Linked DNA regions of Rattus norvegicus. The protein of the gene in region 1 interacts with the protein of each later gene in a pairwise test. Links are inferred from orthologs where the notes say so. Each region holds a gene or a part of one and is shown on either strand. Other genes may lie near its edges.

Region 1 (9,599 bases):
TCTGACCTCCATGGGTAACAGGCACACATTCTACACATACAAACAGGGAGGCAAAATATTTACAAACATAAAGTAGTAAATAAATCTAAAAAAGTATTTTAGAAATCTCCATTTCTAAGTCTGTCCCCCATGGTCAACCTTTTTTTTTTTTTTTTTTTTTTTGGTTCTTTTTTTCGGAGCTGGGGACCGAACCCAGGGCCTTGCACTTCCTAGGTAAGCGCTCTACCACTGAGCTAAATCCCCAGCCCCATGGTCAACCTTTTGACAGTGAGACAAAGTCATTACAAAGATATCACCTACAGCGTTCATGTGAATTACACGTTTTGATTTACAAGGGAAAAATATCACAAAATAAGTGGTAAGTGAGCCACTCTTCAGATTCTGTGTTCAGACAGAAAACAAAAATACAAAAAACCTCAGCTCCAGGCACTGTTGCCAGGCACTGCCAAGACTCCTCCCCTCACTGCTCCTCCTGTGCATCCTTCAGACCTCAGCTCTGTGTCACTGATCTGCTCTCCGCACAGCAACACTTCCGGAGTGTACCTTTGCTTCTGATGAACTAAGGGAATGAATGGACTCCCTAGAAGCCTCAGAGAAGGCTTCCCTGCACCTGCAGAGAAGACTGGAACAGAGAAATGAGAGAAGACACCGGTTTCCACTGTGTTTATTACTAATATAAAAAAAATTAAAAAGAAAACAAAATCATTCTTAGTTCTAGCGCTCTCTCTCCTCTTGCACACATACCTCCTGACCCACTTCCTTAGGGCCTGTTCAAAACCCAACATGTTCACTGCTGTTTTCACAGAAAACACCCAGTGTGAGGGAAGTAAGAGGGTCAGAGAGGTGACAGACAGTACTGTTCAGGTTCCATCCAGAGACAGGCGGAGATTCACAAAGTCAAATCAAAGGGCTGGTGGCCTCACAATGACAGCCTAACTAAAACGGGTCAGGCAGGAGCTGTGTTGGGAGGCCCGTCGGAAGCTTTCCAAGACATCACTGGCCTGTGTCAGACCCAGAATACCAGAGGGCACAGAACAGGAGGGCACGACGGGGAGGCAGTCTGAAGATGTCTCACATCCTCCCGTTTTGGGAGGTAGGTGAACTCTAGAGGGCACCAAGAGCCTCACTTGATTTGGCAGAAAAACTTACTCTAGTGTTGGGAAGTCACAAAAAACGCCACAGACACCGAGGAAGGCTACAAGGGGCGTACAGTTTCACAAAGCACAGTGACCACAGGCCTTAGCGGTGGGGCTCATGCTACGGACAGAAACTAGGACGTCCAAAAGCAGGTGGAGGCTGTTTAGGGAGCAAGTCTGTACCAGTCACTCAAACTCAACCTCAAGCCGGAAAACCTAGTGCACTTCCTGGCAGCTGCAAACACTGGGGTTTTACGTGAAAGGACTTAAAACAAGCAGCTAGAGGATAAGAGACTGCTCCAGGGTTCTTGGGAACTGAGGGCAATACTGAGGGAGAGGTGGACAAATGCACAAGAAACAGCACCAAAGGTTTCCTGTGGAGCAGTCATTTGGCAGAGGGGAAGATCCAGGAGGCAGTGGAAGGTAGCAAGATGGGGTCCTGAAGGTCTCTACAGCCTGGATCAGAGGACAGTGTGTACTGTGCACCAGTGACAGTCACAGCTCTGGACCCCAAATGGGAGAGATGATGAAAGGGGTGGACGTGCCACTGCCTGAAGGTGACAGAAGAGCCTTCAAGTAGCTATAATGGAGCCACAGAGAATGCATGGCCACTAGGTCAGAGGGCTCCTTCCAGCCTGGGTGGGAAGGCACAGTCTTACAGAGGAGGTCCGTTGACGCCTGGATGGTAGAAGGCACAATGGTCTTCATATCGACAGTGGCCCTTCTTAGAAAAGTGTCGGCAGACAGGGCGGTCAGATTTGTCTGTGAATAAGGGAAAACAGCAGCTTAAAACCTTTTGAGAGCTGGGTGAGGAGGCTCACACCATGGCCCCAGCCTTCAGAGGCCGAGACAGAAGACACAAGTTTGAGGTCAACTTGTCCACCCACCCCTAATAAAACACAACTCTTCCAACTTGATGCCCTAAAAATCCTAAGAAAGAAAATGTATAGAATGCAGAGAGAAAGCCAAGGTTTCTACCATATACTGTTTACAAGTATTTTGGCTTTTTCTTTCTACTTTTGGTGCTAGGGATAGAACACAGGGCCTCAGGCATGATGCACACCTTGTTCAATCACTGAGCAAGACTCCCAGATCACCAAGTATTTTGGAAAGACAGTCTTTCTGAGGGAAGAAAAGTGTTCAGGGCTATTGGTACCTCTTGAGGCAGCTAAGAAGCTGGTAGTTCAGCGCTAGAGGACTCCTCAATACAGGTAAGGCCCTGCATTAATTCTCAGTGCTGCTCAGTGAGAGCCTAAAGGAGAAGATTCCCAGGCCTGCTGGTATACAGGCCACGGCACAAACATAACAAAGTGGGCCTTACCTTCCATCATCGGGGGGCTGTCCTTAGGTGGGTAGGTGTTCTTGACAAGAGACCAGCTTTTGAGCCTTCTTGGATTTCTTGGCTCTTGGTAAAAGATTTCCCTAGAAGGACCCCCATGGCCTGGCCCAGGAAAAGGAGGTTCAGTATTGACACCCCACCAACCACGACCGTATGGGCTAGACCGAGGACCAAGGCCTCCCCGAATGTGGCCTCTACCCCGGGGAGGAGGTGGGAGACTCAGCAGTGGTGGAATCATTGGTCCCCTTGATCCTGGAGGACCCCTGTGGAAAACTACAGAGAGAAAGACAGGGAGGTGATTGCTGGGCAGAAGCCCCTCAGTCCTGACAAAAGCCCCTCCCCTGCTCACTACATACAGCAAAGCTCTCTGACACACCGCTTTTTTTTTTTTTTTTTTTGGTTCTTTTTTTCGGAGCTGGGGACCGAACCCAGGGCCTTGTGCTTCCTAGGTAAGCGCTCTACCACTGAGCTAAATCCCCAGCCCCTGACACACCGCTTTTAAGTACGCAAACCAACTACTACCTCTTCCCCTGGGTTTCTATTGCCCATACACAGAGATACGCTTTCTTGGCGCTTTTTAGCCCCTGGTGTGGGGAACTGAACCTAGGACCTTGTATATACTAGGCAACTGACTACTCTTTATTACTGAGCTAAATCTCCAGCCTCAGAAAAGCCATCCTTCTATATGGCCTTTCCTCTCCTGGAAAGTTGCCACCATCCTGACTTCTAACATGACAGGTTGTGGATCTTCCTGGCTCTAACTCTGGGCTCTTCTGATAATCATGAGAGTCAACTTGTCTGGGCCAGTAGTAGATGATTTTTTAAATTTAAAAGTATAGTATCCAGGCTGGAGAGATGGCTCAGCGGTTAAGAGCACCCAACTATTCTTCCAGAGGTCCTGAGTTCAATTCCCAGCAACCACATGGTGGCTCACAACCATCTGTAAAGAGATCTGATGCCCTCTTCTGGTGTATCTGAAGACAGCTACAGTGTACTTATATATAATAAATGAATAAATCTTTAAAAAAAAAAAAAGTATAGCATCCTATTACACGGACTTATGTGCTCTACTGAGGATGGACATGTGGGTATTAAGTGTGTGGCCACAATAAACAATGCTACGAACATTTCTTTTTTTTTTTTTTGCTTCTTTTTTTCACAGCTGGGGACCGAACCCAGGGCCTTGCGCTTCCTAGGTAAGCGCTCTACCACTGAGCTAAATCCCCAGCCCCGCTACGAACATTTCTATGTGTAGTATAAGTTTCTGTTCAGACTACATGTGGCAGAGGAATTGCTCAGTAAGAACAGTGTAATCAATTTTAATCTTAACTTTTAATTTAATTTTAATCTTAGTGGTGTATCAACTTATACAGCCCCCTCAGAGGTGGCGGGCGCTACAGCTTCCAAGCATTCCAAGGGTCAGCCTTTCTCATTCGGTTCATTTGTTGTATGTGAGAAACAAGAATATGTATGCTCACATATCACATGCGTGTGGTGTCCTTGCAGACCAAAAAAGGGTGTTGGAACTAGCCCTGTCTGCTGCCTACTTCCACTAGACCGTGGGCCGCTGAAAATGAACCTCGGGTCCTCTCTAACAGCAATCCACTTATATTTAGCCTGAAGAAATAGATTTCTAAAACTTTAGATCTCATATGTGGGTGTTAGGGATGTGTGTACAGGTATCGTGCTGCATGTGTGACAGAGAGACAAGTCGTTGAGTTTGGATCCTGTACTACTTGGGGCCAAGGATTAAAGTCAGGTTGTCAGGCTTGGGGGCAGGCACTTTTACCTGTAGAGCCATCTTGTCAGCCTGACTCACCTCAACTATTAAGTGTAAGATTCAATACTGTAAGTAACTGTTGGGAAACAGAATCCCAGGGCCCTGTACTGTAAACCAGAGACCAAACAGAAACCTCTAACCACCCCTTTCTTTACATCTCTAACAGCCCTAGTAACTCACACCCTGATTGTTCTGTGAGTCTGACTCCCGACAGCTCATGTGTTTACCCTCATGTGCCCATTTTCTTAATACAGTGTGCTCAGGCCCACCCATGATGCGGCACTAATGCCATTTTCTTCCTTTTAAGACAAAACAATATTCCACTGAGTGCATATATTTTGTTAGATTGATGGCACCCTGGGCTACATAACAAATCCAAAAAGACAAGCCTGGTGTTGCCTAATCCAAGAAGTTGGAAAGCAGAGGCAGGCAGATTCTCTCTGCATGCCAGTCTGGTCTGGTCTGTATCGTGAGTTCCCAACAGCCAAGGCTACACAACGAGGCCCTGTTGCTAATAAATAAATAAATTAACCAAAACCCAACAAAGTCGAACAAAAACTCAAATCTCCAAAGACTATGCTTTCATTTCTTGTAACTATAAACCCAGAAGTGGAGCTGGACTTATTTGCTTTCTTAAATAGGTCTCTATGTAGCCTCATGATACCATAATTCTCCTGCCTCACCCTCCAAAATTGTGGACATAGGCTACTGTGCTTGGTCTTAATTTTCTTTTAGTATAGAATAGAGTTTATTCAGGACATGGGGAGGGGAGTCAAGAGAGTAGTAGAGGCAGAGAGAGAGGCGAGAGGAGAGGGAGAGGGGGAGGAGAGGGAGAGGGAGATATTTGATGTAATTCGCTTATAAATACTGCCTTTACAACTAATATACATGTGTGTATCCACAGAGGCCAGAGGCTGACAGGGTCTCACTGGACCTGGAATGTTCTTAGTCAGCCATACTTACTAGCCAGCAAGCCCTAGTCTGTCTACCTCTGCCTTATCATGGTGTTGGGCCCAGCTGTTTTTTACATGCTTTTGAAGTAAGTAATCAACTGGACCACCTCCCCAGTACCACACCCCCCTCCCAGTTTTACTAGTACAGACGGGTGTCTTACATAGACAGGCCAGGCTAACACTGAACTCTTACCTTTCCTGCTGCCCCTATGGCTAGGCTGTGCCATGCTGTCTAAGGCTGTGAGACTCGTTATTTTTTGTAAGAATGTTTACAGTCTGCTTAGAACCCATGTTTGTCTGGTATGACTACCATGACAAAAATCAGTTTTTTTTTTTTTTTGTTTTTTTTTTTGGTTCTTTTTCGGAGCTGGGGACCGAACCCAGGGCCTTGCGCTTCCTAGGCAAGCGCTCTAACCACTGAGCTAAATCCCCAACCCCCAAAATCAGTATTTTTTTTTTTTTAAAGGTTTATTTATTTATTGTATATAAGTACACTGTAGCTGTCTTCAGACACACCAGAAGAGGTCATCAGATTTCATTACAGATGGTTGTGAGCCACCATGTGGTTGCTGGGATTTGAACTCAGGACCTCTGGAAGAGCAGTCAGTGCTCTTAACCGCTGAGCCATCTCTCCAGCCCAAAATCAGTATTTCTAATGAAGTTCCTACTTCTACACAAAGGATGTCCAGTTGAGACAACACTGCTTACTCAGAACCACTTCTTTGATTTCACCTTTACACAGAATTCCATGTTCATGTGTCTAGAGGCCTCTGATTCCTCTCAGACAGGGTCTCATGTAGCCCAGGCTAGCTGGTCTCAAATTTGCTATGTAGGTGAGGCTGGCCAGGAACTCCTGATCTTCCACCAGTCTCTCAAGTATTAAAAACTTTATGTTTGGTTGGGGATTTAGCTCAGTGGTAGAGCGCTTGCCTAGCAAGCGCAAGGCCCTGGGTTCGGTCCCCAGCTCCGGAAAAAAAAGAACCAAAAAAAACAAAAACAAAAAAAACCAACCCCCCCCCCCAAAAAAAAAAACCAAAAAACTTTATGTTGATATTCTGTGAAGACCACCATGTCATAGCTACTGCAGCTTTTTACCAAATCTTGCTATGCCCTCTTGTTTTGGTCTTGGTAGTATTCCATTTAGAGCCTCTAAAACAGAGATCGTTTATTTTATTTTTCAGAGTTGAGGACCGAACCCAGGGCCTTAGCAAGCGCCCTACACTGAGCTAATCCCCAACCCTGATCGTTTATTTCTAAACACACAAACTAGAGATAGACCTAGGAGTTAATCTGGAAGAAAGTAACATTTTGACAACACTGTTTCCAAACGGTTAACATATGATTCCTCACTTAGGTACACAATCCCTGGATTTTTTTTTTTTCTTTCCTTTTTCTTTTTTTCGGAGCTGGGGACCGAACCCAGGGCCTTGCGCTTCCTAGGCAAGCACTCTACCACTGAGCTAAATCCCCAACCCCAATCCCTGGATTTTTAAGTCTTTGATTTTCCTCCGTCTCTTCTCCAGGGCTTAAAACACGAATCACGGCCCAATTTCTCCTCACCTGACTTGGGATCACCAGGCTTTCCGTTAGCCATGGGGGGAGGGCCCAGAAGGCTGGGTGGTCCTAAGAGCAGACATGAAAACACAGTCGTCAGAACGGTGCAAAGGACTGATCGCCTCGTCCTTACTTGGTCTTTAACACTCAGTTTTTACCCAGTAAAGTCATAAATCCATTCAGCAGTGCCGCAAGCTCTCACCCCGTCCATCTGCCCTTCCCTCTGCAGAGTTGTTTGAGATTCCATCAGAGGGTAACAGAGGTCTCTAACAGCTCTTTCCTCACAGTGCTGCATCCACAACATGCCCAGTGATTCCACATACCCCAATCCCTCACCTTAACTGTTGGCCCATCATAGTTTTTTTCTCCTCTCCTTCCCTCGGGGGAGTAGTTCACAGAAGGCTGCACTTTGACCTAACCAGTGGAAGTGTGGTCACAAATTGTCTTCCCGGTCATCACAATCTGTAATATCGCTGCCGCCCCTCTCCCCCGCCATTCTGCGGTTGCGCAAGCCAGAGGTTTAGCCGCCACCTCCCCTGCCTTCTCCAGAAAGGATTAGGAGCCAGACTGAGGTTGAGGGTTCAAGCAAGCTAAGTCCTCAATCCAGGTTCTACCAGGAGCCCTCCCCTCCCACCCCACCTCCACGCGTGCGTTCTTCCTCCTTCCGTTGGAGCCTCCTCCCCCGCACTTCATTCTCGCCTAGCCCCCGGCCCGCTGACAGGCGTGTGCACGCCCTGCCCCTCACCCATGGGGCGCTCGTCCTCCTCGTCTCCAGGCTCGTCCCGCTCGGACAGTGCGAGATGCTGCGGCGGCTGCGGCTGGTTCTGCTTCTTTCGTTTCGGCATAGCGGCTGCGGCAATGGCTGCAGCAGGATTTGAGGGCAGTGAGGAGGGGGCACACTAGCTTTCCTTCCGCTTCCGGGTGAGCGGTGGGCCCGGTGACCGAGGCTCCCGCCATGCCACTTCCGGGAGGTCGGGGATGTGCTTTGGCGATTCGCTCCTGCAAGGTGCCTCGCTCACCCTGCCGCGCGTAGGGAAAGCTCTGCTCCCCTTGTGCAATTCCTCCCCACGTGGAAAAGCACCACCGCACTGCAGTGAGACACTGGACAGGCTTCGGACCTCTGCCCGGCACGCGTGAAGCCTGTCGCACCTTAAGATCGCCACATCCGGTCCCCCGGTTACTATGGCAACACCTACAGCCACAACTGCGTGCTCTCCGACCTCTCTCCAAAAGTCCTTGTCCCGCTGGCTTTTTTTCTCCTCTCCCACGCTCGCACGTGTGGCCTGTAAGTCTGCCTCTTCGGCGTTCTTACTGTGTCCGGTCGCCTCAGGTCAGCCCACGGAGCTGCCAGCGCAGTCGCGCAGCCTCGGTTCCCCGGCCGGGGGCCATTCCCCACCCTGGCTGCGGCGCGGTGGGGCGTGTCCTCGCCCCCACGCCCGGCCCCCGCCAGGTGAGTGGCAGCTCGCGGGAGCGGCGGGCGGCAGTGACACACGTCCCCCCTCCCGCGGCTGCCACTTGGTAGCGCCGGTGACGGAGTCGGCCGGGGCCACCCACGCGTGCCTCCAGCTCGCCGCACCGTGCACCCCGAAGCCGCGGGCTCTCACGTGCCGCTTGCATCCCTGCCGCCCTGCTCCCCGCCGCCCGCCGCTGACGTCACCGCGGCCCCGCCTCCCCAGGGCCCCGGGCCGCGGGCGGGGGCTGCCCGGGGGAGTCAGTTGCGGCGGCGGGGAGCTCGGCGGAGGGCGGACCGGGGCTCCGGGGCCATGCCGAGGAAGAAGCCCTTCAGCGTGAAGCAGAAGAAGAAGCAGCTGCAGGACAAGCGGGAGCGGAAGCGAGGTCAGGGAGGGGGCGGGGCCGCTGCGCAGCTCTGGAGGAGGGCTGTGCCGCCGCACCTCGGGCGGGGGGTGAGTGGGCTCTCGCGGTCCCGCGTGGGCTGCCACGGTGGGGGTTTCCCGCAGAGGCGGGACGAGGCGGTGGTGGAGGAGGGTGGGGGATGGGAAATCCTGCTGCTGCTACAGGGCGCTATGACGACCTCCAGGCCCATCGGGGAGGGGATTGGGGCGCGTGGTTGGAGCCTCTGCAGAAGTTGGGGCGACTGAAGAAGAGCTTGTCCTACCAGCTCGGGGGGCTTTAGGTACCCTAAGAACCGGTCTACACCGGCGTCACCGGCCCCTCCCCTCAGGGCTCCAAGATGGGCTTCGCTCCAGTTCCAACAGCCGCAGCGGGAGCCGGGAGCGGCGGGAGGAGCAGACCGACACGTCGGATGGGGAATCCGTGACCCATCACATCCGCAGGCTCAACCAGCAACCTTCTCAGGGCCTGGGGCCCAGAGGCTACGACCCCAACCGGTGAGCAAAGGAGAAGGGCGCTGGCCACGTTTCCCTGCCCTCACTCAGCCTTAGGGAAAGCTCCTGCTGAAGGCTTGGAAGTGGAGCTAGTGAGGCCGGAAGCGAAGGTGGTTCTTCCAGGATGGGCCACAATCTTGCCTTCCAAAGGGGCTGTCAAGAGTTTGCTAAAGGAGACCTGAACAACCAGGAAAGGACGCTTTACAAAGTTTTCTAGTCAGAAGAGGAGATGCACAAGGAGCCTGTGACAGGACTCCACTAGATGCGCGGTCCCTCTTCCCTTAGATACCGGCTGCATTTTGAACGGGACAGCCGGGAAGAGGTGGAGAGGAGAAAGAGAGCAGCCAGAGAGCAGGTGTTGCAGCCAGTCAGTGCTGAAATGCTGGAGTTGGATATCCAGGAAGTATATCAGCCTGGCTCAGGTGAGTGAGGGCTATTTGTGTTTGCCATCAGCTTGGGGAACTCGCTGGCTGAAGAGAGGAGAGGCGAGGA
Region 2 (10,024 bases), about 31 Mb from region 1:
CCTTTGTTTACTATGCAGAATGGTGCTTTAGGTTGTACTTGGATCGCTCACACATCACTGTCTGTCTGTCTGTCTGTCTCAGAAGTCTTGCTAATGAGGACTGTGGACACAACCCTAGCCTTTCCTGGCATTTTTAATGTCTTCTAGTTTTGTTGTTTCACTTTCTTAATTCCTTTAGGTTCATTATGATTCAAAACATGATCTTTGGTGTCCTCTACCTAAATAGTCTTTGACTGCATTTAATTTCCACAGTGTTTGTGGCTCAAACACAATATAATTTTCATTTTCTCAAACTTTGCTATAGTTTTTCAGATCCATTGCCCTTTGTACTCACTGTTTGTGTGTATACTTCTTAGTTAGTGGTGCTGGGCTTGAACTGAACCACACCGTGACCTCTGTCTGCTGTCAGTTTTACATGGTTTACTACTGAAGAACCTGAGGGTCTTGGATAGATAGAGGAGGGAACTGATAGAACAAACACTTACTAGAATGGACTCTACGAAACTCAAGTTGGTACATAGTAATTTGGGACTGAAAAATAGGACTGTAAAAGGTTAGGATCACTACAATGATTGATGTGGTTATAAATAATGAATTTTATAATGAATATTATATAATTAATCACCATACAGTAAAGACCAGAAATTATTTTTCTTTAGCTATAATTATGCCTGCAAGTACTGAGTGCACACAGTACTACCACAGAGAAACTTACCCTTATTTTCTAGGTATAAGTGAATCCCACCAAAGAACATTGGCTAGGTGGGTGTGGTGGTGTCCACCTGTATCTCTAGCACTCAGGAGGCAGAAGAGAGTGACTCTAAGGCCAACTAAGGTCTCTAAAGGCCAAGAATAAATCGAAAAGACATCGCACTGACGGTCTCAAGCAGTGCTAGGGTAGCTGTTGCTCACCCGCTAGTCCTGCCGTTCACGGCCTTTGTGTTTCTTTCTGAATTACTCTAGGCTGATGCGCCAAACGCGGGGCTCATCCCAGACGCAGACGCAGTGGGGGTAACAGTTGTACTGATTACCTGCACCTACCGAGGTCAAGAATTTATTAGAGTTGGCTACTATGTAAATAATGAATATACTGAAACAGAATTAAGGGAAAACCCACCAGTAAAACCAGACTTTTCTAAGGTAAGTTTCTTTTCTTCTTTTTCTGGGATATTTTATGTATTTACATTTCAAATGTTATCCCCCCACCCCCTTCTTCTATGAGGATGCTCCTACCCCCTCCCACCTCAATGTTGGCCCTGGCATTCCCCTACATTGGGGGATCCAGCCTTCACAAGACTTAGGGCTTTTCCTCCTATTGATGCTAGACAGTGCCATCCTCTGCTAAATATGCGCCTGGGGTCATGGGTCCCCCCCCCCCCTGTGTACTCATTGGTTGGCGGTTCAGTCCCTGGGAGCTCTGGTGGGGTCTAGTTCCTTGATATTGTTGTTTTTCCTATGGGGCTGCAAAGCCCTTCAGCTCCTTCAGTCCTTTCTCTAACTGCTCCATTGGGGTCTCCCTGATCAGTACAATGGTTATCTGCAAGCATCCTCTTCTGTATCAGTAAGGCTCTAACAGCCTCTCAGGAGACATTCATATCTGGCTCCTGTCAGCAAGCACTTCTTATTTGGTGGCTGTATCTGGGATGCATCCCCGGGTTGTGGCAGTCTCTGGATGATCTTTTCTTCAGTCCCTGCTGCACTCTTTGTTCCTGTATTTCCTCCCATGAGTATTTTGTTTTCCCGTTTAAGAAGGACTGAAGCATCCACATTTTGATCTTCCTTCTTCTTGAGCTTTATGTGATCTATGAATTGTTTCTTGGGTATTCTGAGCTTTTGGGCTCATATCCACTTACCAGTGAGTGCTTACCATGTGTGTTCTTTTGTGACTGGGTTACTTCACTCAGGATCATATTTTCTAGTTCCATCCATTTGCCTAAAAATTTCATGAAGTCATTGTTTTTAATAGCTGAGTAGTACTCCATTGTGTAAATGTACCACATTTTCTGTATCTGGGTTCCTTCTAGCTTCTGGCTATTATAAAACAAGGCTGCTGTGAACACAGTAGAGCATCTTTTGGGTCTATGCCCAGGGGTGGTATAGCTGGGTCCTTAGGTAATACTATGTCCAATTTTCTGAGGAACTGCCAGACTGATTTCCAGAGGGGTTGTCCCAGTCTGCAATGGCATCTTTGTCAGCATCTGCTGTCACCCGAGTTTTTGATCTGAGCCCTTCTGACTGGTGTGAGAGGAGTTTGATTTGCATTTCCCTGATGACTAAGGATGTTGAACATTTCTTTAGGTGCTTCTTTAGGTGATTTCTTTCTTCAGAGGCTTGAAGTTCTTGCCATACAGATCTTTCACTTGCTTGGTGAGATTCACACCAAGGTATTTTATATTATTTGTGGGTATTGTGAGGGGTGTCATTTCTCTAATTTCTTTTTTTTTTTTTTTTTTTTTTTTTTTTTTTTTGGTTCTTTTTTTCGGAGCTGGGGACCGAACCCAGGGCCTTGCGCTTCCTAGGTAAGCGCCCTACCACTGAGCTAAATCCCCAGCCCCTCTAATTTCTTTCTCAGCCTGTTTATCCTTTGAGTAGAGGAAGGCTATTGATTTGTTTGAGTTAATTCTCTATCCAGCCACTTTGCTGAAGTTGTTTATCAATTGTGGGAATTTTTGGGGTCACTGAAGTATACTCTCATATCATCTGCAAATAGTGATAATTTGACTTCTTCCTTTTCAATTTGTATCCCTTTGACCTCTTTTTGTTGTCCTAATTGCTCTGGCTAGGACTTCAAGTACTATATTGAATAGGTGGGATTGCTTCAAGTTTCTCTCCATTTAGTTTGATGTTGGCTACTAGTTTGCTGTACTGGTTTGCTTTTACTATGTTTACGCCTTGAATTCCAAGACGTTTATCATGAAGGGATGTTGAATTTTGACAAATGCTTTCTCAGTATGAGATGATCATGTGGTTTTGCATTTGTTTATATAGTGGATTACACGCTGATGGATTTCCATATATTGAGCCATCCTTACATCCCTAAAATGAAGCCTACTTGATCATGGTGAATGATTGTTTTGATATGTTCTTGGATTTGGTTTTCGAGAATTTTATTGAGTATTTTTGAATCAATATTCATGAGGGAAATTGGTCTGAAGGTGTCTTAGTCGGGGTTTCTATTCCTGCACAAACATGACCAAGAAGCAAGTTGGGGAGGAAAGGGTTTATTCAGCTTACACTTCCACATTGCTGTCCATCACCAAAGGGAGTCAGGACTGGAACTCAAGCAGGTCAGGAAGCAGGAGCTGATGCAGAGGCCATGGAGGGATGTTACTTACTGGCTTGCTTCCCCCGGCTTGCTCAGCTTGCTTTCCTATAGAACCTGAGACCACCCAGCCCAGGGACGGCACCACCCACAATGGGCTGGGTCCTCCCACATTGATCACTAGTTGAGAAAATGCCTTACAGCTGGGTCTCATGAAGGCATTTCCACAACTGAGGCTCTTTTCTCTATGATAACTCCGGCTTGTGTCAAGTTGACACACAAGACCAGCCAATACAGAAGTCCTCTTTCCTTGTTGGGTTTTTGTGTGGTTTAGGTATAAGTGTAATTGTGGCTTCAAAGAATGAATTGGGTAGTGTTCCTTCTGTTTCTATTTTGTGGAATAGTTTGAAGAGTATTAGTATTGGATCTTCTGAAGGTCTGATAGAATTCTGCACTACCTCCATCTAGTCCTGGGCTTTTTTTGGTTGAGAAACTTTTAATGACTGCTTCTACTTCTTTAGGAGTTATAGGACTGTTTAGATGGTTTACTTGATCCTGATTTAACTTTGGTACCTGGTATCTATCTAGAAAATTGTCTATTTCATCCAGATTTTCCAGTTAGTTTTGTTGAGTATAGGTTTTTGTAGTAGGATCTGATCATTTTTTGAATTTCCTTAGTTTCTGTTTTTATGATTCCCTTTTCATTTCTGATTTTGTTAATTTGGATACTATCTCTCTGTGCCCTCTGTTACTCTGGCTAAGGGTTTATCTATCTTGTTGATTTTCATAAAGAATCAGCTCCTGGTTTTGTTATTTGTTTGTTTTGGTATAGTTCTCTTTGTTTCTACTTGGTTGTTTTCAGCCCTGAGTTTGATTATTTCCTCCCCTTACTTCCCTTTTACCTGGTTTGCAAAGGCTGATAGTTCTTTTGCTGTCTGCTATTATGGTCATTGCTTATTATGCTTAAGTGCTTCATTGCTGATCCCTTTGGATATGAATTTAGTCCTCCAAAAAGATGAAAAGAAACACCCAGCTTGCACATGGTAATCTAACTTTCTTAGTACTCACCATTTAAATGTTTCTCTTTCTAGCTTCAAAGGAATATTTTGGCTTCTAATCCCAGAGTCACAAGGTTCCACATTAACTGGGAAGATAACACAGAGAAACTGGAAGACGCAGAGAGCAGTGACCCCAATCTGCAGTCCCTTCTTTCCACAGATGCACTGCCTTCAGCATCAAAGGGATGGGCGACGTCAGAAAACTCACTCAGTGTCATGTTAGAATCCCACATGGACTGCATGTGACACGTGCCATGCCATTAGTACAGATTAAGCTATTAAAACAGAACTATCTCCCTGAAGTTCCGTAAGTACATAGTCAACGTGAAATGTGAAGAATTTGTTTAAAAACATCCTGTAGAAAGTTTATAAGAAAACCAGTATTTGAGCAAATTGTGGAATATAAATACAACTATTTTTAAGGACTTTTTTTCTCTAATGTGTTATTTTATTTGTTCATGAAACTAATCTGATTAAAGCATATATATTATTTTCTTCTCTTTTATATGTAATTAAAGCACTTATAAAAAGAAAAGTTATCAATTCTTAGACTGGGTTGTAAAGGTGTTTTAGCCTCTTGGACAATAAGATTTATCAGCTTTTAAAAGGACAAAGTTTACTTCAACTAAAATGATTTTTCCTGTGAAGATAGTATCCTTATAATTTGACAAGAAAATTTCCATTCTGTAGTAAAAAAGATAGATTTAAAATGGGATTTGAAATCAATCACATGCCACCAGGGTTTTTCTAGGCCATCCCAGTGCATCTTACTACAGTTCACATTAAACTGGACTTCTAGTTTTTATATAACAAATGCGGCTGCCTTTGAAGTCCTTCTGACTATCGTGTATGCTTTCCTACATCTAAAACTGAGAAACTATGATCCTAAGCCATCACTGTCTAGAGAGTCCAACACATAAGAGCAAACATAAGGTCTCTGAAGTGTAAGACTCCATTATGATGGCTCAGATCTGCTCACTCTTTCTGCTTACAGGAATGCTGAACGTGCGTTGCTGGCACCATTACTATTGAAGGGTGATTTAGGAAGGTCTAGTCAGCTTCATCCTGGCTAGCGACTCTAGAGAGTATGTCTTACCTTTTGCAGCCACACTACCCCATATCCTTTGGTTCTCATAATGTGTAAGATCAGGGCATTATCTGTAGTTAACATAACAGCTTAACCACTTTTTTTTTTCTCAGAAGAATAGTTTTAGAAAGGAATTCACCAAATAAATGGGCCAAAAGCTTATTTTCTTTAATGAGAAGTAAATCCTCAAAGTTTTGATCCATTAAATTGACAGTACAATATTCTCAGTTGTTATCAGTGATGATGCCCAGGATAGCCATAGGTTCAAGTTATGCAGTGCCTTCACATCTAAGCTTTTATACTGCACTTTCAAAAGCATTTTGAGGAAAAGGAAGGGGTATTTATTTAAATACAGACTCTATAAGTTGTAATATATTTCTTGCTTTTTTTAAAAGATAAATTTGTGAAACAAAGTCTTGTTAAATGTTAAACTTTGAAATTTAAGACTCCATATTACCCAGTTCATAGATTTTAAAAATAAATATTTCTGGCTACTAAAATGATTTGAAAAAAAAATCTCATTTTGTCTAACTACAATTAGGAGAAAATGTTTAAGACAGTTCAGTGATCAGTACAGTAAGAATAAGTTTGTCAGAAATAAAGATAATTAAATCACCAAGTAAAGCAACTCAGTGCAGTCTTAGATTATAGAACCACTTTGTGATGACATGCTTAGGTCTTTATACCAAACTTTAAATATATGGCCCATAGTCACAAAAGTCGGAGAAATAAAATACTGCCTTTTATTATTTAAATGCAATAGCATTTAAATTTAAAAGTGAAAGAAGAATAGAAACATTTACACATTAAGAACTAAGAAACTAGCATGCAGGGATTTTCCTCCTGATTAGCCTCATTTAAAAAGACATTATGTCTGAATTACAGTTAAAAGGCTTATAGACTCCGCTCCACCCCACTTCTTTTGAGATATGGTCTCTCAACATAGCCCTGGCTGTCCTGAACTTTCCTTAGACCAGTGTAGCCTTCAGCTCACAGACATCCACCTGCTTCTGCCTCCTGAGAGCTGGGATTAAAGGCATTCGACTCCACACCCTGCACCACTTCCTTGTTTCTATCAGTATAAATAAATGTCTGGTGAATACGTACACATACAACACACACATATGCACACACACAGTCCACACCGCTGAAGAGCTAGGGGAGTAGGTTATGATGGTATGGAGTTGAAACATTTCAGAAGTCTGAGGAGGCACACATGCATTTGCTCATTCACAACCCTTTCTGACCCTTCATTTCTGTTCAGTCCATGGGGGCTGTCAACGTGGCCCAGTCGGTAAGGTGCTTGCTGCCAAGCCTGGCTACTTCAGTTCAGTACCCAGGATTCACATGATAGAAACATTCTCCCACAGGTTGTCACCTAACTTCCATATATGCTCACACAAACTAAGTAAATTAAGGGTAATGCAAAATTTTAAGACTATGACATGTTTCCTATCGCAGTCCATAGTATAAAATGCCATATGACCATGCAATGCAAGTATACATTTATATTAGGTTTTTCAAGAAAGTAGCCCTTCGCTGCCCCTACTGTGTGCAGCCTGACTCTTGATGGATTACAGGAGTGCCAAAGCCCACTGACATCTTTGAGTGGGTAAAAAGTAGCAATTAAGTTCCTACAATTACAAAACCTTTACCAACCTTTTTTCTCACCTTTGGATTATGATCTTGACATATGAAATGAGGGAGGAGAGTGCTAATTCACTTTCTATTTATATTATCACTAACACTTGAGAACTTCTTTATTAATAGTGGCCTGTTAGATGGCATAGGCTAGTGCTTGGCATTCCACATGATTGGTTGGCAGTCATTTCATGGAATCATACAATGTCACTCAGCCACAAGGATTTCAAAGTATATAGGGGTGGCTCTTTATTGGCCTTCTCTTTTGGTGTTGTCAACTCACAGAGCCCATCTGACCAACACTTATTAATACAGCATTTACAGTCCCCAGATAGGACTGCTGGGATATTTTTCTTTTGTGATGGGTTTCAGAGTATATTAGATAAGAACTTGGAGAGGAGACTACAGAAGCAAGGTTATCTTAACATGTAATAACACTGGTAAACTATGGGAAACCAAACTCCTATTGTAGAACAGGAGAAATAAAACTAAAAGTAGAAAACATCAAGACACATTTTAAAAAAACAATTTTCCCTAAATTTCATATCACTTTATAACCAGGACAGTCTTGTGTGTAAGAGCTTTTAAATGTACTTGCTGTAGAATTATTAAAATGTATGAAGAAAATTTCTTAGTACATACGTGAAAATATGCTTTCTAAATGCACAAATGTCCCTAAGAGGTATCATTAGGAGTCACTGTTGTCCATGAAAATGCCTTAAACTATATGCTGTCTACCTACTTTGTAAATGAAATCTCCCTGTTTTGATGTTTGTTTGGTAGATCTTTATAAAACGACATCTTTACATTTTCCTATATAAAACTAAGTTCCATACCGAGGACATAAACCTTTTTGAAATATCTTTTTAATTGTACAAAAAGGATGTTACATTTCCTTCCATTTTTGGCAGTAACTTTGAAAAACCTAAACTTACTTGAAATGTATCCTATGAAGGCTACATTTCATAAGGAAATAATTGTGTTCATTTCTATATTAATTTTAAATTATGTAAAAATTGTCATACAGTACCTGCACTAGTAGATCCAATTCCTGTGGTCAAAACAGACCTCGGTGTAATCTTTGCTGCATATTTAAGGAATTGCGATTTCCCTGTGCCAGGATCCCCAACCAATAAAAGGTGAGATTCGCCTAGGAAAAGTAAATGTAAAAGTTCAAAAATTTTAAAAGGACCTATGAATAACATACAACTAATAAAGTATCCCATATGAAATGGCCAATACATTTTATGTGTTATTTTTTGATATATTTTATGCAAGGTTCTTCAAGGAAGGAGTTAAATAGAGACTCTTTAGAAAAGTTATCTGTCACAAATATAGCAATTTTGATTACTGAGTGGATATTTAAAATTTAAAACCTTTTAATAGAGTATATGCTATTTCCAGATGCTTAGACCCATGCGTAACATTTTAAAAATCCTTGACTTACAAAAACTTTCTGGTGTATCTATTTTTAAATCTAAGCTACAGTGATTAAAGCTATCCATACAAGTCATATAAGGTTTTATTCTATTTTTAAAGTACTTCTAAATTTTGGGGGTTTTATAAGTGGTTTATACATATCAAACCATTTTGATTATATTAACTGAATAAAAACATTTTCATTTATGTACGTTTCATTAGCTTAGTGGGATATCTACCTTAAAATGACTCATTTCACACTTAATAGAAATGGACACATGCTCGTCCTATGACAGATATTTTCACTGGACAAAAAATTTCTTTAGTAATAAGTATTTCCTGAGTACATTAATAAACCATTATTTAAGATCAACATTTAGCCAAGTGCCTTGCATATAGCAGATGATCACAATACAGTTTATAAAATGCTTCTGTCCTATGTGGTCTTAGTGTTGGACTAATAGCCTGGCTTAGAGTATCATTTTAGTCTGTGGGGTAACTGGTTAACAGCTCTCTCTCTTGCTTTCTCTCTCGGTCTCTCTCTCTCTCTGTCTCTCTCTGCCTCTCTCTCGGTCTCTCTCTGTCTCACTCTCTGTCTCGGTCTCTCTCTCGGTCTCTGTCTCGGTCTCTCTCTCGGTCTCTGTCTCGGTCTCTCTCTCTCTCTCTCGCTCGCTCGCTCGCTGCACTGGAGTCTGCTGCCACCCAGACATGTTGCACACTTGGAGCAGTCTTTGCTTCAAGTATGACCTACAGCAGCAATCCTGGCAGATGGCGTATCTGCTGTCTACCAGCGGGAGAATCAGCAGGCACAGGGCTCTGAGTAGCACTTGACAGTCACAGATGGAAACCAGCTTGGAGACATTAAGACACACACTCTCATCCCCTCCCTCCAAGGGAGCTCATTGTGGCACCTTTACAGTACATAACCACGGAAGAACTTATCTCTGGTAAATCTGGATATAGACTAAAACTGAAAAATCCATTTAGAAACTACATTAGAAAATAGCTCTAGAGACAGCTTTTAAAATTAATTTCCTGAAGTATACTAAGTAATGGGTTTTATTTAGGCATTTTCAAGTGTGTGTTATTATAACTCAACCCCCAACAAGCAACTTTTGTTGAAGAAAGAAAGGGCCTCCCTTGCCCTCTACATGTATCAGTAGGTACTGACCTCTAACCCTTGTTCCTGCAGCATCAGTTCTTTGAATTCCACCAGCCAGGACCATGGCCACAGCAAGCTTCACTAGATACATCCCAAACACTTGAGGACACAAGCTGGCCAATATTTCATTCCTCCCTTGGAAGTGAGAAAGATCAGAAGTTATCATTTTCCAGAACTTCTACCTGAAATCTCCCTATCCTGTAGCCATTTTCATGTAACACACTGCCAATCTAAAATGATAAAGGCCAAGTCAAATAAGAAGAGGGAATCAAGAGCCTAGCTTAGATTCTGCTTTTTCTTTTTCTATTTGGTTTTTTAGATGGTTCTGCAAAGTAGCCAAAGGTGGTTTCAAATATGTCATCTTGCTCCAGTCTCCCAAGGGTGGGGACTACTGG

What was found. The genes of interacting proteins can lie anywhere in the genome.
Region 2: the proteins of Prr3 (region 1) and Asf1a interact in binary tests that used the Homo sapiens proteins (3 or more experiments, as listed by UniProt). The two-hybrid records come from large-scale screens. The link is inferred for Rattus norvegicus from reciprocal best matches to the Homo sapiens genes PRR3 and ASF1A.

Annotation. Positions count from the first base shown.
Region 1 is NC_086038.1:2,795,724-2,805,322, reverse strand, and holds Prr3 (proline-rich protein 3), read right to left. Parts: upstream 7,647-9,599; 5' UTR 7,608-7,646; coding exon 7,508-7,607; intron 7,405-7,507; exon of another isoform or gene 7,170-7,404; coding exon of another isoform or gene 7,099-7,169; intron 6,832-7,098; coding exon 6,769-6,831; coding exon of another isoform or gene 6,658-6,768; exon of another isoform or gene 2,749-6,657; coding exon 2,458-2,748; exon of another isoform or gene 1,899-2,457; coding exon 1,792-1,898; 3' UTR 649-1,791; downstream 1-648. Other genes in the region: Gnl1 (guanine nucleotide-binding protein-like 1), read left to right, coding at 8,526-8,598, 8,945-9,110, 9,393-9,529.
Region 2 is NC_086038.1:33,444,901-33,454,924, forward strand, and holds the end of Asf1a (histone chaperone ASF1A), read left to right. Parts: intron 1-963; coding exon 964-1,140; intron 1,141-4,353; coding exon 4,354-4,566; 3' UTR 4,567-6,578; downstream 6,579-10,024. Other genes in the region: DNA helicase MCM9, read right to left, coding at 8,079-8,198, 9,639-9,764. UniProt on the Homo sapiens protein: Histone chaperone that facilitates histone deposition and histone exchange and removal during nucleosome assembly and disassembly.